Linked DNA regions of Lytechinus pictus. The protein of the gene in region 3 interacts with the protein of the main gene of each other region in a biochemical or structural test. Links are inferred from orthologs where the notes say so. Each region holds a gene or a part of one and is shown on either strand. Other genes may lie near its edges.

Region 1 (8,201 bases), about 6.1 Mb from region 3:
TTGGAAAGTTCACATATCTTATTTATGTAAACTTCTTTCCAGAAATTCAGGAGTCATTAATTCATTGAAGAGTATATTCCCAAAAAATATTTTATGCATGTTGTACTCAACTCTCATTTTGCCTTACTTGAATTATTGCATCCTTGCCTGGGGTAACGCTGCTAAAGTTCATTTAGATGGGTTATTTAAAGTCCAGAAAAGGGTAATTAGACTAGTATGTGGAGTAAGTTCACGATCTCACACAAATATTTTGTTTTATGAAAACAAGTTCCTTAATTTACATGACATATTTGATCTCAACCTTGGTTGCATTATGTATCAATTAAATAAAAGAGAACTTCCACTTGCCCTTGATTCATTATGTGTTAGAAATGACCAAATCCATTCTTACTATACAAGACAAGTTTCTTTTCTCCACTTGCCATTGGTCAAAACTAGTTTTCGGCTAAATACATTCGTTTATACAGGGCCAAAATTATGGAACTCCCTTCCTTCTTCACTGAAGAAAAAAGTTAGCCTTAGTGTTTTTAGAAACAAGTTAAAGACCGATTTACTGAAGAAATACTTAAATCAGTAAACGAATGCCTGCTTGTTATATCTCGTCTAACTTTATAAATTGTATTCTTCCCACAATTATCTATGCAAAAATAGAGCTCTGCCTATTTTCTTTATATTTTCATCTTTTCTTTCTTCTTTTTGAATTTTAGATTCTTATACTTTAGGTCTAATAGAATGTTTGCATTCTGCATTTCACCTTTTTGTTACTTTTTAGTGTATCTTTTGTAAATATGTATATCTGTACTTTGGTTATTTACTCAAATTTTTTGTTTGCTTGTTCTATGATGTTTTAAAATGATTGCTAATATAATTTTTTTAACATTCTGGTGGCCTATGGCCCACAAGCTAAGCTTCTTAGTAGGTCACCACGTTTCATTTCCGTCTGTTCTCATGGGTGTTATTAATGTTCCATAAAAAGTAGTGCATGTATTATGTATATTATCCTGTAATTATTTACTATTGTTCTTTGCTATTTACTTGTATCCCAATAATCTACTGTTGTTATTTACTTATTGTTGTTGCTTGATATTGGAATTGAAACGAAATAAAGATTCATTCATTCATTCAAAAATAATGTTCTTGTTGGTGTTGTTTCTTTTGTCCTTCAGCAAAGCAAGTCTCTGATATGGGAGATTCCCATATTGGAGAGTCTCCCATATTGGCCGTGAGCCTCTACTGAAAATTGCAAACAAAAATAATGACCGACTGATACCGAGGCTAGGAATTGAATATTCAGGACAGAGATAGGGGAAATCCCCTTTTTCGCGCTCCGCACATGCGCCCTATCCTCTGTATCGGAATTCCCCTATCTCTTCATCATGAATATTCATTTCCTACCCTCAACAATGTCAACATACCCCATTGAATGCAATTGTAAAAAGACAAATTTTAGAACAGAAAATATTGCAAAAAGGCTCAACATGGTCATTGATTTTGTGGAAATTAACAAAATTCATGTTTAATGTTAATTTCTAAAGTAGAGATTATATGCTCCCCCTCAAGACTACTTGTTTCTTTTTTGGGCTGTGCCTGGCTTAGACAGCTGGCAGCCGTCAGTTTCAAGGAGTTTTTAAACATTTTTGTTTTTTTAAATTTCTCCTCGTACACAGACGGCTCGCAATCGTGCAGCCGCCATTGGCATTAGGCCTATTTAGGGGGTTAACAATGCAAACTCCCCGTTTGGACCTCATTGGTACTAGGAGTGCCCCCGACAGGGCTCATCGATTTTTGTCTTTATTTCATAAAAATATATAAAACGAACTGGACCAAAATAAATTAAAGATTGTTATTCCATTTTGGCCTGAAATGCTCCTACACAGGAAAAAATAAACTTAAAAGGAGAAAAACAGTCACTTACTACGGCTGTCGCGCAACTCTCACTTCCCTGGTTTATCCTAACTTAATACATAAACATATGGCCATGTCCATGATCATGATGGAGTCCCTGTACAGATCGAGGTAGAACTTCGGTCTCTGTAACAAAGTTAAGTGTAATTGGTGATGCCTGGAGCCACCGCCACCGGAGTTCAGCGGAACAATCAATAAAATTATAACATTAACAGAGACCAAAAGTCCAAAGCTTTGATTTGAAAATGTGTTTTTGAGTAAATTTGACAATTTTTCATCTTTCTATTCCACTCCTAGTAGTAGTACCAATGAGGTCCAAACATTAACATGTATGGACCTCATAGGCGACAATGCGTTAAAAACAGGTTAGAAGTCCTGCACCCAAGTATTTTTATGATATTCGTGATTATTACTCGAAAAATGCAAGCTTTGTCCTCATTTGTTTAGCATTTATTAAAAAATTACCCATTAACTATAATCCTACTCATATTTTAAATGTTATAAAATAAAGGGAAACTTACATTTGAGTCCTTTTTCGATCTTTTCTTGGCAGTCAGTCCGGTCCCGTCGAGTGCGATCAAAGCGGTACGAAGCTGATTTTCAGATCACGTGATACGAGTAGTCATCACCTGATCGATCGACTATCCTTTTTTAAAGACCGCAACAATTATAAATTTTATTATAAAATATATATAGAATAAAAAATTGCATGATATTATATATTTCTACAATTAAAAATATTTTGTGATATGAATTTAATATTTGACGTAAAAATCGCTATTTAACAAAATATTTATTAAAAAATAAAAAATCAAACAAAATAAAAACGCCTTGGACACAGTGCAAAAAACCTAACAATTTGGCCGCGTTCTTAACAACTATCGTAAGGGGCGCTCTATTTATAAATAAAGCTGCATATGTAGCTGTCTACCGCGACAGGAACAGCCGCAGAATTGAAGCCAGAAGCGTGGGAAATTGCCAGAAAATTCAAGAAAAGAACCGGTGAGTACCGATTTAACAGTACTAATTTATTAAGTAACATTTATTGAATCATTACAAGATTTATTTTTTAGTAAAACAAAGCTTAGTTCTAAGCTAGGGCGGCCCAAATGCGCGTGAGTGGAGTCCCAGTTTATTAGCACAGGTAAGTATTGGGGTGTCGCCTAGGCCTAGAGTGTTCTATTCAACATGTTCAAGTTCTCTTTGAAAGGATGTTGCAAAATTTTGAGCATATGGAATTATTTTCTGATGTGTATGATGCGCACGTTCGGTAATACAAGGCCGGTCGGTAATACAATCACTCACTATACGATTACGACTACGAGAAAGTCTCAATTTATTCTCGAACCGGCTGTGTGATAGCTAAACATTTCACTTTCACGAAAAGGCACGCACGGGACTGAAAGAAAGATATCGAAAGAGGTCACTCGATTTGTCTTCATTATTGCCGACAAAACACTCTATCAAAATCTAGATTTTTAGATTATTTAGATTTTACAATACTCTTTTTCTTCATCATAATGTTTTACCTTGATATTATCCTTGTAATAAATCAGATTTCTCGGATTTAAAGTAACGTTTTCACACCTGCGCGTTTCCGTTTTACACCCTGGCGAAGGCATTTTCCGCAAAAATAGCCACAAAGCGACTAGTGAAGAGTCTACACAGTACACGTCGCTGGTTGCAGCGTGCGACTCAGGCGAGCCCCACACCACCGCATGCAATCTGCACAGTTACTGATCAAAGCATAGAGTTCCTCGGCACTTCATGTTCAGAGAGCAGTCATATGAGTGAAATCCGAACATGCTTTTGCAGTTACGTTTTTTTTATGAAAAGCTATGAAAAAGTTTATTTTTCTAAATATAAATTATTAACTAAATGAATAGAATGACAGACAAAATAAAAATAAACAGATACATATAATAGAAAGAAAATTGAAGTTTGATGGATTGATACACTTAGATGCCGAAAGATAGATATAAGACTGATAAATAGATAGAGACATAGATAGATAGAAGTAGAGAGAGAGAGAGAAAGACAGAGAGATGGATAGATAGATAGATAGATAGATAGATAGATAGATAGATAGATAGATAGATAGATAGATAGATAGATAGATAGATAGATAGATAGATAGATGGGGGGAGAGAACTTGAGAGATGGAGAGATGTTATAGATAGATAGATAGATAGATAGATATATGGACGGATAAAAATAAACAGAGAGAGAGAAAAAAAGACAGACAGATGGATAGATAGAGAGAGATAGAGAGAATCTGTGAGATAGATGTTAGATAGATAGATAAAGAATGAGAGAGACAGAGAAGATAGACAAATTAACAGATAAATAGAAACTGTAGTTACATAGATAGCTAGATAAATAGATAGATAGAAGATAGATAGAGAGAAATAGAGAAAGACAGACAGATGGATAGATAGATAGAGGGGGTGGGGAGAGAGAGAGAGAGAATTTGAGAGATAGGTACATGTTAGATAGATAGATAGATAGATAGATAGATAAAGAATGAGAGAGACAGAGAAGATAGATAAATCAACAGATAGATAGATACTGTAGTTACATATAGATAGATAGATAGATAGATAGAAGATAGATAGATAGATTGATAGAGAGAGAGAGAACTAGAGAAATACAGATGGATAGATAGAGAGAGAGAGAGACAGAGAAGATTAATAGATAGATACTGTAGTTACATAAATAGATAGATAGATAGATTTATAATTTGAGAGATAGATACATAGACGGATAGAGAGAAAAAGACAGACAGATGGATAGATAGATAGAGAGAATTTGAGAGACAGACAGACAGATGGATAGAGAAAATTCGAGAGATAGATAGACGGATAGAGAGAAACAGAGAGAGAGAAAAAGATAAATAGATAAAAGATAGATAGATAGATAGATAGATAGATAGATAAGATAGATAGATAGATAGATAGATAGATAGATAGATAGATAGATAGATAGATAGATAGATAGATAGATAGATAGATAGATAGATAGATAGATAGATAGATAGATAGATAGATAGATAGATAGATGGGGGAGAGAACTTGAGAGATGGAGAGATGTTATAGATAGATAGATATACTGTATATGGACGGAAAAAGAGAAATAGAGAAAGAGAGAGAAAAAAAGACAGACAGATGGATAGATAGATAGAGGGAGAGAGAGATAGAGAATTTGAAAGATAGATAGATTTTAGATAGATATATAGATAGATAGATAGATAAATAGATAGATAGATAGATAGATAGATAGATAGATAGATAGATAGATAGATAGATAGATAGATAGATAGATAAAGAATGAGAGAGACAGAGAAGATAGACAAATTAACAGATAGATAGATACTGTAGTTACATAGATAGATAGATAGAAGATAGATAGATAGATTGATAGAGAGAGAGAGAACTAGAGAAATACAGATGGATAGATAGAGAGAGAGAGAGACAGAGAAGATTAATAGATAGATACTGTAGTTACATAAATAGATAGATAGATAGATTTATAATTTGAGAGATAGATACATAGACGGATAGAGAGAAAAAGACAGACAGATGGATAGATAGATAGAGAGAATTTGAGAGACAGACAGACAGATGGATAGAGAAAATTCGAGAGATAGATAGACAGAAGATAGATAGATAGAGAGAAATAGAGAAAGACAGACAGATGGATAGATAGATAGAGAGAGGGAGAGAGAGAGAGAGATAGAGAATTTGAGAGATAGGTAGATGTTAGATGGATAGATAGATAAAGAATGAGAGAGACAGAGAAGATATACAAATTAACAGATAGATAGATACAGTAGTTACATAGATAGATAAATAGATAGAAGATAGATAGATAGATAGATAGATGGGGAGAGAACTTGAGAGAGGGAGAGATGTTATAGATAGATAGATATATATGGACGGAAAAAGAGAAATAGGGAAAGAGAGAAAACAAGACAGATGGATAGATAGATAGATAGATAGATAGATAGATAGATAGATAGATAGATAGATAGATAGATAGATAGAGGGAGAGATATAGAGAGAGATAGATAGATAAAGAATGTGAGAGACAGAGAAGATTAACAGATAGATAGATACTGTAGTTACATAGATAGATAGAGATAGAATTTGAGAGATAGATAAATAAATAGATAGAAGATAGATAGAGAGAGAAAGACAGAAAGATGGATAGATAGATAGAGAGAGGGGGAGAGAGAGATAGAGAATTTGAGAGATAGATAGATGTTAGATAGATAAAGAATGAGAGAGACAGAGAAGAGCGACAAATTATCGATAGATACTGCAGTTACATATAGATAGATAGAAGATAGATAGATAGATTGATAGAGAGAGAGAGAACTAGAGAAATAGAGATGGATAGATATATATATATAGAGAGAGAGAGACAGGGAAGATTAATAGATAGATACTGTAGTCACATAAATAGATAGATATATAATTTGAGAGATAGATACATAGACGGATAGAGAGAAAAAGACAGACAGATGGATAGATAGATAGAGAGAGAGAATTTGAGAGACAGACAGACAGATGGATAGAGAGAATTCGAGAGATAGATAGACGGATAGAGAGAAACAGAGAGAGAGAAAAAGACAGACAGATGGATAGATAGAGAGAATTTGAGATATATATATATATATATATATATATATATATATATATATATATATATATATATATATATTGGATTTTATTGCAATAAAAACTATCAAAATACAATCACAAGCAGTCAAAGACTGAAATAAGTGAATGTTTACATACAAATAGAATCATTACAAAATATAAAGTAAACTTTATAAATAAATATCAAATACAATACAAATTCATACAGATAAAAAAGAAATGTATCATAAATAAATACAAAAGGCCAAAAGTAAAGTGTCACCAAAGAAAAAAAAGCGGAATGAAAGATTAAGAAGAAAGAGGTGAGAGAAGGGAAAGAAATTGGGATAAGACAAAGAGAAGGGAAAGCAAGAGGTGGAATTTGAAAGAGAATAGGAGGCAACCTTCAGAAGAAAAAAAAACTCATTATGCAATACAAGACATTTAACAATGGTAACAAGTAAATAAAGTAGTAATTGAATCGAATTGAGCACAAAAAAGGGAAAAGTAGAGCTGAGGAAATAGACTCCCGAAGGAAGTCGAAGCAGTGTTGATATTGCACATGAGTAGATTAACAGATGGATAGAGAGAAATAAAAGAGAGACAGATGGATAGATAGAGAATTTGAGAGATAGATGTTAGATGGATAGATAGATAGACAGATAGATAGGTAGATAGAGAATGAGAGAGACAGAGTAGATAGACAAATTAACAGATAGTGGATAGACAGATATGATAGATATAAGGATAGATATAATATGAAAAAAAGTAATTATGTGTTTTACTTTTCAATATTTTAGCTATTATTCGTTTTCATTCATATAAACGATCATGTGCGATAGTAAAAAAAATCATGAAGCCAACGTATATAGTTCAGCGGAACAACCAAAATACAGAGACTGAAGCTTTTGGTCTATAAGCTCAGCTGCATTTGCACGTATGTTCTAGGATATCTTCGGTGCGGACTTTTGGATCGCGCCCAGCTGATTATGTAAACAAACGTAGACGTAGACTCTTCACTAGTCGCTTTGTGGCTATTTTTCCGGAAAATGCCTTCGCCAGGGTGTAAAACGGAAACGCGCGCGCGGCCAACAACTGACAAGTACATGTATGGTGTTCCTCAAAACTGGTTAAAATTGAAAATGGAAATGAATACCGTACCGGTAACCAGCTGCTATATATATGGCCTGTCAAAAGGCTGTATATTGCTTTCCTTACCCACTAGCGATCACGAGAAACAGGGGCCGCGGAACGAATTTAAAACTGGAAGGGGGTGACTGTACATAAAGTAACAATTTGATCATCATTTTCACGTTTGTGTATTTTTACTGAAAAGTGCCACCCCTCCCCCACAGTTCCATCTTCTTTTAACTTAAAACATCTCTGGAAAACTGAATAACAATATTTTAATATTACAGATGAAAGCCTAGCTGATAAAAAAGTGATGTTTTTTTTATTCTGTTTCAAGCTGTAAACACTATGTTCAACAGAGAGGATAATTGAAGGACGGATCTAGTGGGATATATTCAAAGAAAAAAAAAAGAAAGGGGAGAAATCCATAGAGTAAACATCGATACCCCCTACCGAGTATCTCCTTGATCTCCCATTTCCTCCCCCTCTCTCTCTCCTATCCCCTTCTTCTTCTCCTCCTCCCCC
Region 2 (7,725 bases), on a different chromosome or scaffold from region 3:
CTATATAAATGTGGAATATTATTATTATGCAGAATATGAATTATAAGGAACAGTATCCATAAACTTTTGTAGAATATTAGAGAAATTCAGGTTTATTCTTGCCCAAAGATCCTTCCCTGATAGGAACAAACTCCCAGACAAAGATTGAAGAAGTGGTTACACTTCGTAATTCCGAAGGTTCTTTATTCCGAAGGCTCATAATTCCGAAACACGTAAATTGCCTATTTAATATACCTCGATGTTCGTTAATCCGAAAATGTAAAAGGGTTCGTTAATCCGAACATTTGTGGCGTTATTCCGAAGGTTCGTTATTCCGAAGGTTCGATAATCCAAAAACGAAATAAGGTTCGATGTTCCAAAGGTTCGTTAATCCGAAAACGAAATAAGGTTCGTTGTTCCGAAGGTTCGTTAATCCGAAAACAAAATAAGGTTTGTTGTTCCGAAGGTTCGTTAGTCCGAAAACGAAATATGGCTCGTTAATCATTTAGTTTTCGGACTAACGAACCTTCGGAATTACGAACCTCATTTCGTTTTCGGATTAACGAACCTTCGGAATTACGAACCTTCGGAAAAACGAACCTTCGGAATAACGAACCTTCGGAATATACGAACCTTCGGAATAACGAAGCTTCGGAATTACGAATGTATGCGGAAGAAGTAGTCTCATGTCAATTTGACATGCACCACTTGGTCACTGCAACCATCCTGCCTGTGGGGAATCTACAGGTAGGACTATGGGGTATGCCTATGCAATACACAACACACACTTTGAAAAATCATTAAGATATCACTTTTGTGACCAAAAATATTAATTTCCATACATTTGCAATTTGTTTTTCATCAGTATTTTGGGAATAATTTCTGTATTCACCAGAGCGCTAAAAAATGTTGGGCATATTTTTGTGTACGTCCTCTATTGGTGGAAATTAATATGGCAAGAAAATTATCGTTTTTCAATCTCTGTCTTTAATTTAGAGATAAAATAATTAAAAGAATCAAAATTACTTAAGAGCCAAGTTATATGATAAAAAGCTGTAATGGAAACTGACAATGTCAAAAAATCAAGCATTTGTCCAAAAGAAAAAGAGAAAATATGCCAAACCTTGCCAACCTTATTATTTTGCCACACATGGAGTAGTAACAGAGAATGAGGTTATATCAGATTCATAACCTTGTTCATTGAATGAGTGACATGCACTGATAAGTATGTATCTCTCGCTTTTCTAGTACTTTCACACGACCACAGATGCAAAACTATTCCTCTCACCTCATCCAGTGCATGCAATATTTCAAGTTTGATTTTACTTTGTGATAGGATGCAGATCCCTTTGAAAATTACAAGAGAAGAAGAATCTCAAATCAAATTTTTGGTGCATACATACACATATATGGCAGTGTATCCTATTGCCGGACACCTTTATTTCAATGCTTTAAAAATTACAACTAGAGGAAATACAATCAAGAAAAATTCGCACTTGCTATTCCAAATATTATGAAAATTATGAATATGATAAAATTATTTTACATTTACCAACCGTTACCTTTGCATCGCACTTGCCTCATACCCCTCCGCGAAAAACAATTATTTTTGTGCACGGCAAATTACATCATGATTCCGGACGCGCGCCGGACGGGTAAAGATATTCTTGATTGTAATGATGTAAGAAAGAATTTATATGATATTTTCTTCATATATGTTATCATGAGTAAATTTTAAGTTTTCGTTTGCTTTTTTATATCGAATGTGAGCAGATGTTGGTAATAAATTTGTGTTTGCTATTTTTTTTTCTTTTTTACTGCATGTTCCATGGCACTTTCCAATATTATGCTCGTTCATATCGTATGACGCTCATCAAGTTCTATCGATGCGCTGTCGATCGTCGACGGCTCTAATCACGGTAAACCTCGCGCACGGGTACCTTAAAGGAGAATGAAACCCTTGAAACCAGCTGAATCCATATCAAAGAGAAAAATCAAAGAAACATATTGTTGAAAGTTTGAGGAAGATTGAATGAATGATAAGAAAGTTATGAGCATTTGAATATTGAGATCACTAGTGCCATGTAGATCCTCCCATCGGCAATGCGACCAAGATCTGTGATATCACACACGTACAACTCCCTCATTACTTTAGTACTTATTTCACGTATATTCTCACTTTTATAGAGTCTATCACAAGGTGAGGTGTTCTCTTTATGAGATGACAAGTACAGAGGTTTCACAACATTATATCATTGATGAATCGTTTGTCATATGATTAGAATGAGCAAAAAGATGTTTTGGGGTATATTTTCAGTGTCCAAATGGGAGAGTTGTACGTGTGTGACATCACAGATCTTGGTCGCATTGCCAATAGGAGGATCTCCATAGCATTAGTGATCTCGACATTCAAATGCTCATAACTCTTTTATTGCTAGTCCTATTTTACTCAAAGTTTTGTTGATCTTATTCTTTGATTTTTCTGCTTTCACAAAAGCTAACTTGCTCCAAGAGTTTCATTCTCCTTTAATTGAGAACTAGCCGTCGATGCACCCACAATACACCAGGCTCAACATTCGATCGAAGGAGCGGACGAGATTGAAATTCGGCAAATCATCAAATCAGGCCCATATTTCCATCAGAACATAATTTGATTGTTAATGCAAAACTATGTTATATGATATTTTAAGCATTTTCTGTAATTTAAAAGATAAATAATGTAGTTTTTTTTTGCCTTGTTTTTTATTCTTGTTCTATGACTATGTATTGCCTATTGGATTGCTCTGTGAAATTTAACTGCGAAAGTCATGCAGTTTGAAAATGAAATTGTTTTCGTACGCAGTAATATGCGCGTCCAGAATCATAATAGTGTCCGGTCATACAATTACAATACGTGACTATAGTCTATAGTCTATACCTCCACACGCGTTTAACAATGTCAATGTTACTAACTACACTATAGTACACTACACAATCCGAGCCATGTGGGACCGAAGTAAAGAAACAACGAACTAAACACATCAAATCGTTGGAATAATCGAACAAAACCTTTCAAAATATTAATCATCACCTACTTTGCACACAACTGGTCGTTCTCAATGTACTGGTATCCAAGAAAAGTACTTAATAATTCTGCCTTTTGACCATCTAAACAGGCAGTCTCAATGTGACGATAATGGTCTTCTCACGACGAGGCCGACCGTTTCACGAGGACGAGCGTCCACGAGGCCGAGGCCGCGCGAGGGTCCATGAGGCCGAGGGTCTGCGGGCCGACTTTTCTTATCATACCGAGGTTATACCTGACTGCTAAGAAAGCACGAAGGCCTGTGAGCAAGTACCCAGGGGAGTGAGGGGACCAACGGCTTAAGGTCCTCTCCGAGTAACCTGGTAATGAGGATAAATGCCTTACCAAAGGCAAAGGGCACTATAGGTTATAGCGCACAATTTGGAATCGAACCCGGGTCACCGGAATCCGAAACCCCCGCTCTACCGACTGAGCTATATTTTCTTTAATCAGGATGTTTGTCTTCATCGATATTAATCAACTGAGTCGCAAATAATTAATAGGCAATAGCGAAAGTTATTTCAAGACCGCAAGTTCAAGGCATGCTATATATGATGAAGACTTTTTAAATGAAAATTTCATTAGTTTAATGACAAATCCAGATTGAAACATTCGGCATTGTCTCAAATAATCTAAATTCTAATCTTTAGATTATAATCTAAGTCCAGAATTTGACAGTTCAAATGTCATTTTTATAATAAGTTTCTGATCGTTCTGGACAATATGGTATATTTGACTTTATCAATTTCCAAATCTTGCTGTTTTCAAATGAAATAATTAAAATCTACATTCCAAGAAAAGAAACACAAGTGAGAAATAATAACAATATAACAAAATGTTTAAAACTCAAGTTTCAGATTTTTACAATGAATAAACGGCTGAAAAGAGACTCACCAGCTACATTAATGATGGGTGAGATATACTCGAGCATAAATCATGTTGTCCCGATTTACCAAACCTTTACATTATAAGATTATATTTAAGTTTTCAATAGAGAATATGCTAAGCTGAAACTTTTCCACTGATTGAAAAAAAAAATCCTAGTGAAAGAAAATACACTTTAAAAATCGGCCTCGCGGACCCTCGGCCTCATGGGCTTGCCCCGGGGCAAATAATGCTCAACTTAGTTCCAGTTCTAGCTTTATGTTTGGTAATACCGGTACATGAAATGCATGCGAGACAACTTTTAAAAGGTATGGTAATATGTTTAAAGAAAGTTCACACAACCAAATGGTAGAGTAGATGCTTCTGTTCTGAATTTGGTGAAACCACTGGCGTAAATCCCGGGGGGATGGGGGGGGGGGGGATATATCCACCCCCCCCCCCACTTTTCGAGGAGGGGGGGATGGCCTGGCCTGTACAAACATCCCCCCCCCCCACTTTTTACGAAAGAAATGAAAAAAAATCACAAGAGATAATTGTTTTATTGGTGAAAATTCTTCCTATAATACCGCTTAACAAATAAAATAATATTATTGAATCATAAAATGCAAATAAAGAGCCAGTTCACCATTTCCAAACGAAATACTTATGTCCTTATTATAACATTGAAGAGAAACCCCCGTTTCTTCCAATTCATCAATGTTGGGGTCTTCGGGAAGGGATTAAGATGGAATGTCAAAAAATTTTGAATGTAATCTCTAATAAAACCATTAAACCATCATGGGGTAAAAAAGATAATAATATTGGAGGGGTATTTGCCATATGGACATACAGTGGCGTAACTACGGGGGGCATGGGGGGCACATCCCCCCATCGGCTGTCCAAAAAAAAAGGGGGAAAGGAGAAAAGAGGGAGAGAAACGTATTGGGAAAGAAGAAAATATTATTCATTATAATGTTATATCATATTATAATTATGTTATGTTACATTACATAAGAAACATTTTTATCATAACTTTATGAAACATAATTTGCCCAGCGCCTACGTCTTCATTGTTCCTGGTGCTCGCATTGTCTGTTTAACGAAATATATAATCCTGTTGTACTAAAACATCCCGTTTTCAAGTCAATATAAACCAAATATATTTCCTAGCACTTGAGTTATCATTGTTTTATGTAGTGACATATGCTTCTTTTTCATGACTCAAAAAGTGATTGCCCCATGTTAAGGTCTTATATGAAACATTTCCTGTCCGTGATTACGTTCGCATTAGTGGATTGGTGAGATATATGTCTGCTCTTCATAAATTCCTAAAATCAGTCCTTAAAATGTCCCTTCTTCTGATCTGAATATAAAAATTTTTTTCAGCTCGCGCTTCGCGCTCGCATCGTTTGGTTAATGAAATACGTATGGTCCTAGTTAATTCCTACAAAGAAACCTTAGAATGCCCCACTTCAGGTCTGAATTATCTAAGTTTTCAGCTCGCGCTTCGCGTTCGCATTGTTTAGCGAGACAGGTTCCTATCATGATTACACAAATTTGATTATAATGTCCCTTTTTAGGTGTGAATATAAAAAAAATTCAGCTCGCGCTTCGTGCTCGCATTATTTGATCAGTGAGATACATATCCGTTTAATGACATTGTCCTTAAAATGTCTATATTAGGTCAGTATAACTGGCAACTGAGCGCGCTTCGCGCCCTCACTAGCGCACTCACTCAGTGATTCAAAAATTTTGCTGGTGCCCCCCCCCCCAATGCCGTGACCCACTGTGGACATATCAATGACAATTTCTTGCATATCTAAAAACATGTTCACAAAAAAATGCCAAAATATTTCAGTCATCCCCCCCCACCCATCAACACGGATTTACGCCATTGGGTGAAACCATAGTGTGGAACAGATCAACAAAAGAAAACAACTTCCCGGAGCACTCTCACTTACATATATAGTAACAGTTTGACAACCATATGATTCAAGTTCAAGTTTATTTATTTAAAAAAACACATTATTATCAAAATAAATATAAATACAATGCATATGAATACATAAACACGTATCAATTAGATTATAGCATAGGCGAATAGGATCGACCCCTTTAGAAGCAAGGCTTGTGAGCGGGGGCCTAGAATATAGGCCGACTTAACACGATCTACATAATACATAAGCGAGTGAGAAAAAAGTTGATGTTAGCCTATGCTAAACTAGAATATAAACTATATAAACTTCGCTCTCGATTTTTTGAAACTGGCAAAAAAAAAAATCGTGTCCGCCTCAGTGCCCCCCCCCCCGAAAAATGTTCCTTTATTTGCCCCCCATGTTAAAAAATCCTGGTGTTGCCACTGAGCACAACAACAAAACAATTCTTTCCGACAGTATGTAATGTGCAATCTTTGTACACGATAACTTTAGAAATAGCGCCCCTTTTATATATTATGTTGTAAATTGATGTCATGATTGGATTTTAAGAGGTAAACTGTAAGTTGTTTATATCAATGTTAGATAAAAATATATAGTCTCAGACAATATTTTTTTAATTTCATTTCGTTTATTTCCATTTTTAACAAATACAGTGTCCAATACAATGTCAAAACCTTGACAAGCAAAAACGACAATGAAGGTATATTACGTGTAATCTTCATACACGATTACTTTCTAAATAGCGCCCCTGCATATTGAGTCAGCTCTCAGCAGGTCGGTGTCACAATCTGATTTAAGATTCACGATTTTACCCAATCTAGGCTAAGAATTGCCAGAAGCGGATCTAGAGGGAGGGTTGGGGGGGTTGCAACCCCCCCCCAAAAAAAAAAAAAAAAATCCGGGGACCATTTTTTTAAATCTTATCTTTTTTTTTAAACTTGTAATTTTATTTTATTCTATTTCTACAGTGCGTCCCAAAAAAAACTATACACTTTTGAAATGGCTGCCAAATAAAAAATATATCACTTTGGGGGGAAACACTTACATACATGGAAGCCTATAAAGTCAACTTTAAAATGACACCAAAAAGTTGGAAAACTTTTCATGCTTGAGCGAGCACTGCCCACTGAAACAAAGGGTATGAAAATTAGGGTGGGCAGGAATTAGCCTTCCAATTTCTTTCAGTTTTTGAGATGCGAGTCCCTTGGAACTTGCAAAGTTTTGATAAATCAATGATCAAGCATTATCAATTTAGGTTTTTAGAGCAAATTTTAAGAATTATTAAATTGAAATTTAATGTATGAGTGAACATGAAATACAATTTTTCACTTTTTAAGTGGATCTCAGCAATGTGTTCATGGAAGTCAGAATAGGGATAGGACTTAGGTGGGGGAAGTAGGTTGACGGGATATGGGTCAACAGAACACTTAACCCCCCCTCTCTCTCTCTCTACCCCTTTCACCCCTCCTGAGAGACTAGCCTTTGCTAGGGTGAGCAGGAATTAGCCTTAATTCCATTTTTTTAGAGGTGAGTCCTTTGGAACTTGCAAAGTTAAGGGTGTTATGCTAAATTACTGATAAATGGAGATCAGTTTTGGTTTCTTAAGCAAATTTCACGAGTTACTAAATTGAAATGTAATGCATGAGTAAACAGGAATTGTAATTTTAGTGTAGCATTTTTCGTTTGTTATGTGGATCTTAGCAAGTGTGCTTGTGAGAGTCAGAGTAATGTGATGGTACCTGTTACATGCAAGGGGATGAGATAGGGTAAGACTGGGTTAAAGGGGCATTCTTCTTTGTGTTCTCTTACAAATTACGTGTCATGTACTCACCCCCGCCCTCCACCCCTTTCTTTCTCTTGGTTGGTATTTAAAACTTAAAA
Region 3 (8,495 bases):
CTGATCCAATCAGAGCAAAGGATTTCAGGAGCTTATTTTTTTCATGAAATTCTCCCCTTGATTCAGCGATAGGCAGGTAGGGCTTGGGAATTCCTCACAGGGAAATCCTACTTCCTCTGAAATACCCACTTTCTATTATGTATTTATAAAACCATGAACTTGGGTGAGGTGCGATCAGTTTCTGCTAGTCAGATTGTCAGGGAAACATACCGAAATATCTTCAGTTTGTGAAAGAAAAAATCTTCAGATTTTATATTTCTACATACAGTGGAATGGTCTGTTGTCATTATTTTTGTAATTTTGTATAACTTTCTATTAGGGGCATTGTTTTATAGTGCATGATTTTCATATGTAATGAAATTGAAATTAATACCGTCAGTAGAATGATTCTGAACAACTTAAATGAATCATCTTGTTTTGTACAGTGCATGTAGTGTATCTCTGTATTTGACTATCAGTGTAATACTATATTGTAATACATAAATATTGTTTTATTCAGTTTGGGTTTCTTCTTCCAACAAAGTACAGGCTGGAAGATTGATGTAAGGAAGAGTGGTAGAGTAATTTACATTAGTATCACCAGAATCATGTTTATCAATCTGAATTTGGAATTCATATCATCTGTGAGGCCGTTCTCATTACGCTTTCTAAAACTAGTTTACTGGAAACCGATTCAGGAAACCACTTTGGAAGATCGCTTTGCTAGCGTTCCCACTTGATCAAACGAAAGTGGTTTTCAAAATCACTTCACGGAAAGCGCTCTTGTTGCAATGGAAACGCTCTCAGTGGGGTGATACCTTTCGCGCGAAATTCGAAACCGCAGCATAGGTATTCTACACATGTCGTGTGGAGTAGCGCGCTCAAAATGTGCGAAGATCGCTTCCTGAAGAACGGTTGTGTCCTCACTTACGCTAAAACCAGTTTAACGAGGCAAAGCGATCTTGAAAACTACATCGCGAGGTGGTTTTCCAAACTGGTTTGGAATATTGCTTCCAAGACCGCTTCGACCGTTCTCACTACGCGTTAAAGTACTAGTTTCCACTAAAGTAGTTTCCAGTATACTAGTTTTAGGAACGTAGTGAGATCAGCCTCTGTGGAACGATACAGTATTTGCTTGATCACACAGGGAAGGAGTGCACTGGAAGTAGCTACTGCTGAGGGTCATCTAAATGTTATCACTAAACTGGTGGAAATGGATGAAGGTAAGTTTTATATCTTTCTCACTGTATAACTTCTAATTTTTCAAGCTAGCAGCTCAGTGTATATTTGGAATCAAGGTTTTTGATGTTGAGACGTTAAACTGATTTCTAACTGGAGAGCTCCATATTATGACCAACAAAAGACAATGAATGCATGGACGTAGCAACACATCTTCTTTGGGACCCCCCCCCCCCCCAGGAAAAAGTTTTAGCTGCCAATTCCAGTAGTCTGAATGATTCCTATACTGTAGAATTAAAGGTCAAGTCCACTCTAGAAAAATGATGATTTGAATCAATAGAGATCGAATGATTATAACTCTGAAAATTTAATCAAATTTGGATATAAAGACATGACATTTCAAAATTTCACTTATTTTTCACAAAACTGTAATATGCACTGTAACTGAGAGTCAACCATGGTCCCTCTTTATTTCTTTTGTGCAACATGGTTTGAATTATAAAATGTTTCAATTTTTACAGATTTGATAGTAATTAGAAACTTGACTGAACAAAAAGATGTTGAAACAATGGTAATTTCAAAAGAAATAAAACTTTGTTTCACATGACAATGAGGTGAAAATTATTATAATTTATTAATATGTCATATAATGAAAAACAAAAGAAAATAAGTGAGTGGATGATGTCATCAGTCACCTCATTTGCATATTGACAAGGATGTAGGGCTGGACTTGTCCGTAAATTACCGTCTTGTGCAACCACCCCTTTATGTGAGGACATTCATCTCTGGACAATTAACTACCCCACACACCAAGCACCCTGAGGACATTATAACCCCCACCCCGCCTACCCGAAAAAAAAACGTGATATTAATGATATTGTTGATAATCCTTGTAGTGATACGGAGGGTGAGGATAATAATCAAGTTATTTTAGGAAGTAGTTGCCCATATAGTATTTGTCATCGAGCATGCTTGTTCTGGGGAAGGGTAGTTGTCTGAGAAGGGGGGGGGGGGTGTCCCGTTTTGTCATAGGGAGTACATGTGTAAGGGTCCTTTTTCCTTAAAGGTGAGTACTGATTCTATTTATCTGTGTTTGCATTTATGAATCTTCATCTCCATGTTTCCAGGACTTCTAGAGGATGTTGCCGAGTTGAAACAGCTTGTCTGCTGTGCCTGTAGAGAAGGGAAGAAGGAAGTGATAGACTACTGGTTGGATCACCTGATAAGACAGAGTCCTAGGCCTGGGCACCTCTTCTCTGAAGAACATGATCCCAATCCGCTTCTATCGGCTTGTCAAGGTATCATATCTTCATTCAGGGGATGAAAAGTTAACGAAAAATATTTTTAGGATTGGGGATGGGTGGTGGAGTTTATTCGTTATCATTCCAAATTGCATTTTTGTTCCATTGCAACTTAAAAATTTGCATTTTAGGCAATTTATTCATAGCCATCATTTATATATTTTTACTACTGGTATGTGGTATTTCATACAAAATTATTAATTGTTTGAAATTTACACAAAATTAGGCATGAAATCTTATGAAAAGAAATCATAGAAGTTATGATTTTGTCTCGCCCACTAGAGGTGAAGGCGAGACTTAGGGATCCAAATGTCGTCCGTTGTCCGTCCGTCACAAACCTTATGACACATAACTCCACAACCGTAAGTCACTTTTCAACCAAACTTGGATGGTAGATGGACTTGGGGGACCTGCATGTTATGCTGCAGTCGGAGGTCACATGGTAAGGTCAAAGGTCATTTTCAGGTCAACGTTAAAGTTTACATGCAAGACTCTCTCATGACACCTAACTCCACAACCAGAAGTCACTTTTCAACCAAACTTGGATGGTAGATGGACTTTGGGGACCTGCATTTTATGCTGCAGTCGGAGGTCATATGGTAAGGTCAAAGGTCATTTTTTCACGTTAAAGTTTACATGCAAGACTCTTATGACACCTAACTCCACAACCAGAAGTCACTTTTCAACCAAACTTGGATGGTAGATGGACTTTGGGGACCTGCATGTTATTATGCAGTCCGAGGTCATATGGTAAGGTCAAAGGTCATTTTTAGGTCAACGTTAAAGTTTACATGCAAGACTCTTATGACACCTAACTCCACAACCGTAAGTTACTTTTCACCCAAACTTGGATGGAAGATGGACTTGGGGGACCTGCGTGTTATGCTGCAGTCGGAGGTCACATGGTAAGGTCAAAGGTCAGTTTCAGGTCAACGTTAAATTTTACATGCAAGACTCTTCTGAGACCTAACTCCGCAACCGTAAGTCACTTTTCAACCAAACCTGGATGGTAGATGTACTTGGGGGACCTGCATGTTATTTTGCAGTCGGAGGTCACATGATAAGGTCAACGGTCATTTTCAGGTCAATGTTAAAGTACAACCAAACTTCGATGGTAGATGTACTTAGGGGACCTGCATGCTATTGTGTTGGGAGGTCACATGGTATGGTCAAAGTTCATTTTGAGGTCAACATTAAAGTTTATGTGCAAGACTCTTATGACAAGTGTTATTCCATCCCAGTCATTTCACAAGGAAGTTTTGATACAATTCTGTTGCGTGCCCTCGCAAATCACTATATTTCTGGTTATTTTCATAAGTGGGCGAGACACAAAATTGCTTTTGCCTTGTATTTGTAATGAGGGTGGGGGTAATAGAAACCCATCAATTAACCAATACTACATTTTAAAAAAGCCCAAAGAAATAAAGCTGTAAAGTTAATGGATTACTGAAATAAAATCAAACTCTATTTAAGCCCCAGTCACATGTAGACACGGATCCTCAAAGATCAACACAGCAATGCCGGTATGAATTACAAAAAAATAAAAAACCCAAACTTCCTTTAACCAGTAAAAACGCTGTTTTAATTTTTTACACAATGCAGTTTACTATTTGTACAGTAGTTGTTAAGTGCTTGAAATCTTACATTACAAAATTTGAATATTTAATCTTAAATAAATAAAGCATGCTTATGTCAAGTGTTTAACAACTACTTGAAAGTTCATAAAGTAAACAGCGTTGTATAAAATTGATATGAAAAAAAAGAACACGGACTGTCAAGGATACTCCAGGCAACCATGCGGACCTACACGGCAACTACACGGACCAACACGGCAGCTACACAGACATCCCAGATTGCTTGTCTACCCGGCAGTCCACGGATGACACCGGACGTTTTTTTTATAGTAAAAAACTGCCATGTTGGCATCCCGGCCGGACATTCAAGGCGCCAACACAGATCTCTCCCCGGACCACCTCGAATCAGATCCGGGGTGGTCTGGGGCCTTTTTTTATGTGACTGGGGCTTTACAGATTATAGTGAAGACAACGTGCTTGATACTGAGGCCATTGCTACATGATTTGGGGTTTTTCATCATTTACGAAATAGTATGTCTCTCCCTTTTCTTTTTCCTTCTTTTTCTCCTATAAAAGTTGCCTGGTTTTTCCCCACTAGCCTTCTCAAGGGTTGCCTAAAGAAAGCTTTCTGCATTAATATTGTTAAAAAATAAATCTGCATTCATCCATAGAGCTATGATTCATCAGTGCTCAGACCTGAAGCTCCTAGGTATGCTCAATGGAAATATGGATGAATGCACATGAAAGGAAGTCTTTTTATGAAATCCTATGTTTAAACATTCCATGAGCCCCACAAATAAAGAGCTAGTGATAAAAATAAACCCCTGGGATTTCCCTTTAGCATTGCAGTGCAAGTACAATAGCAGGCGTGTGTGTAATTTGACCAGAAGGGATTACCATTTTCTACTTTTTTTTATCAAGTAAATGTTAACTCAAAAGGAACAGGTATAAGTTTAGTTGATATCTGACAAGTGTACTTCATGCAGTCTAGATAAAGTTAATGCTGTTTGTATCAGATGACAAATTCTTTACCTTGCAGGTAAGATTTGTGTATGTTCATGGTCATGGAAATGTACGTTATTTATTTGTGTGTGTCTTCCTGGATGTACCCCTCAATATTTGGATCCAAACAATCAAAAGAGGACCAAGGAGTGTGTACTGTTGCTTTTTAATCGTCCTTATTGCTTGAGACTTTGGTGCTGAAGTCGGTAGTTGTCAATGTTTGAGTTCTTGGATGTTTGGGATAATAATCATAATGTAGTATACAAGTATACCAGGCTTTGAGGATGCATAAAAAAAAATTTATCTGTGGTTGGACCGCCAATAACTATTTTTCAGAGAAAAAAAGGATGATATTCCCAGTCCAACCAAGGATGAATAATTTCCTCAATACTTAATAAAGAAACAACAGGTATATTTGGTTTATATCTGTTCTTTATTAAAGTAGATCCCAAAAATTCAGTCCTACTTGATCCATACCCAATCTGGACCAAGATATAGGTCCGTCACTTTGCTTTCATGCCCGAGGAGGGGGGCACACCCATTGACGAGTGGATACCAGGCGCGACCATTTGGTTATGAAATGCATATCCTAAACAAGCATTTTCCATATTTTGAAAACGCATCCCTTAACAAGTAGTATTGCCATGTGAAACCCTACCCTTAACAAGTATTGGAAACAAAACGGTAGCCTTGACAACTAATCCCTGAATTGACCCCCTAAACAGCGATATTTTAATTGTTATGTCATGGACGTCAGCTTTACCTCTACTTTTGTTGGGTTTAGTACCGCCCAATCTCCCACGCCTCTCTCAAATCGGACTCTAAACACATGTTGGGGCAAAAAGTACATCCTTTGTAAAGCATTTCAGTCTGTTTTATACCTTCGCAAATTTGATCGTAAACACATAGCTTTCCTAGCAAAATATGTACACTTTTTTCAGTATTTTAATGTTTTTGACACCCTTATTATGTTACGCGTAACATGCCCTTGAAAACTAGAGATCCTTTTTACGCGTTTCTTTGGTCGCGCCTGGTATCAACTCGTCATAAATGGAAGTGGCCCACCCCCCCCCCCCTTCTGGCTTGCATGCTGACCTACTTCTCTGTCCAAGGGAATCTGATTCGTTTCTAGACCGTTGCATCATGAAAGTTGCGCAGAAGAGACACGTAGTGGTTCAGCATATTTGAGAGATTGCATAATCTGTGACATCAATGATGGAGTAGCTAGTGCATTGATTTCATGTTTCATGGGGCTATTGCCAATAGTGCTGTATTTTTGGTGTCCATCTTATCTGTTTTGGGAGTCATTTGTGGGGACTTTCAGTTCATGTTCAAGAACTTTGCCTGTTATATTTTAAGAATAATACCAAACATAAGATATATGTAAATATGCCATGCAGTGTATGCAAGAAAACTTTTCACTGATTTACTATGCATCATGTATTCCAATCGTGATAAGTTCAAATTGAAACATTTTATAAGTTAAGTAACACTAACAGTGAGAAATAAACTTTCAATTTGCACTAGGCCTATTATTTGTCAATAGTTATTTTTGCAAATTGCTTTCAGATATATTTCATTCAATGTTACCTTTTATAAGTTTCTCCAGTGCCCTTCAAATAATCATAACTCGTAAATTCTGGACTCTGATCTTACACTCATTCTGAATATGGAAATGATATTTTCCTAGTAGCGAAGGTCCGATTGTTATGTTTAGCCTGCTTTATATCAATAGAAAAACTCGCTGTTAGATTTGATACCAGATGTACTGGATTTGATATTTGATTGATTGAACCTTTGGATGTTATTACCAGGTACAACATGGATGTTACTGATGAAAGGTAAGAAAGAAATGACAGTGTATACTTAGTTGTGTTTTGATGTCAGTAGGTTATGGGGGATTTATAATGGCAGAGAGGCAAACAGCCAGACATACTTGGATAAAATTCAAAAGAGATCTCATTTTATACACACTTGTGACAAAATAAAACTGCAAAAATGTACTCTTACATGTATTTGTTCAAAATATTTAAATGAAGCAGAATCACCAATTAATACAGATATTCCCTCCATTTTGTGTTCGGGAACTTCCTTTCAAAACTGGTGCAGCCGTGAGAACATTGAAACACGATACAATTACACGTATGTAATCAAATATTTGTGCAAGGCTTATTCAAACCCCATGTTATGATGATGAAAATAAAATGGAAACCGACATGTATAAATAAAGAATGTCAACTAAACACATTATAAAACTCATATTTATTAAATATGAGTTTTATAATGTGTTTAGTTGACATTCTTGATCCCAATTCAACTTGTTGCTTCAGAATCTTTTATCAATGCACATACGGTAATATAGTTTAAAGGTAAATGTGTAAAGTGTAGGATCTTCAGAATTTCATTGATTCCTTATTACATTCTAATTGACAAATATCATGTCAATTTCCCTATGTAATGTACGGTACTTGAACATAATGTAGCTATGTGCATGTGTGGAGTTTTCATGAAGTATATTGGCTAGAGCTGAACCATTCAGATTCAAAGGTTTGTTTCATGAATGTGCTAAAAGGGATGAACATATTTTGTTAAAAAACAAAATGTCTGGAATACTAGTTTGAGTTTCCTTCAAACAACTATTTTTTAACCTGTTAGAGACTGACTGAGCCAGCATGCATATACACAGGCTAGACTTTATGCACTATAGTGAAGTTTAGCAATATTTTGAGAAAACAGTCATCATGAATATTCATTAGGTGGGCTGATGATGTCACATCCCCACTTTCCGTTTTCTTATGTTATTACATAAAATCTTAATTTTTTCATTATTTCATACTTGTGTGAATAATATGTCTCCCTTATAATGAAATAAGTTGCAGCAATAAATATCCAATGCACTTGTCAATCCAATTTTCCTAGTTCTTGGAGGAAAAAAATTGAATAAACCTAATTTCATATAATAAAATACAAAAGAACAAGTGGGGATGTGACATCAGCCCACCTAATGAATATTCATGACGACTGTATTTGCAAAATATTGCTAAACTTAAAAATTCAATAACTTTGTTATTTGTTATCCGATTTTGATGAAATTTTTTTGGCATTTTGCTCAGTGAATTCTACTCTATTTATTAAGCTATAAATACTTTCAGCCCAGACCATCCCTTTAAGTGTGACTTTTAAGTCACTCTTTACTGTTTGTGAAACAACACTGTGTACTGAGTCATGCAAATCAATTTGATTTCCATTTCGGAAAGAAGAGGGCTTTACAGCCTCTCCATATGTGTTCAGATGTTTATTTTACACTGAAGTATGAAGATGCTGATAGAGTCCAAATAAACTTTTTTTTGGACTTGACTGTTAAAATGGGGTTTGAATGAGGATTGTTTTTTTTACATTTCTAGTATAAAAGAAGAGCAAGTTTTAAAGTTTATGACTGCATCTGCACGTATTACTTGTA

The links.
Region 1: the proteins of leucine-rich repeat serine/threonine-protein kinase 1-like (region 3) and DNA-directed RNA polymerase II subunit GRINL1A-like form a complex in vitro, tested with the Homo sapiens proteins (2 studies listed by BioGRID and IntAct, with this or other methods). The link is inferred for Lytechinus pictus from reciprocal best matches to the Homo sapiens genes LRRK1 and POLR2M.
Region 2: the proteins of leucine-rich repeat serine/threonine-protein kinase 1-like (region 3) and ribosome quality control complex subunit TCF25-like form a complex in vitro, tested with the Homo sapiens proteins (2 studies listed by BioGRID and IntAct, with this or other methods). The link is inferred for Lytechinus pictus from reciprocal best matches to the Homo sapiens genes LRRK1 and TCF25.

The regions. Positions count from the first base shown.
Region 1 is NC_087249.1:18,275,173-18,283,373, reverse strand, and holds the start of DNA-directed RNA polymerase II subunit GRINL1A-like, read right to left. Parts: upstream 3,534-8,201; 5' UTR 3,528-3,533; coding exon 3,435-3,527; intron 1-3,434.
Region 2 is NC_087246.1:54,859,890-54,867,614, forward strand, and holds the start of ribosome quality control complex subunit TCF25-like, read right to left. Parts: upstream 3,534-7,725; 5' UTR 3,054-3,533; intron 1-3,053. UniProt on the Homo sapiens protein: Component of the ribosome quality control complex (RQC), a ribosome-associated complex that mediates ubiquitination and extraction of incompletely synthesized nascent chains for proteasomal degradation.
Region 3 is NC_087249.1:24,365,205-24,373,699, forward strand, and holds the start of leucine-rich repeat serine/threonine-protein kinase 1-like, read left to right. Parts: upstream 1-4,983; 5' UTR 4,984-5,072; intron 5,073-8,495. Other genes in the region: uncharacterized protein LOC129261642, read left to right, coding at 1,127-1,202, 2,286-2,482.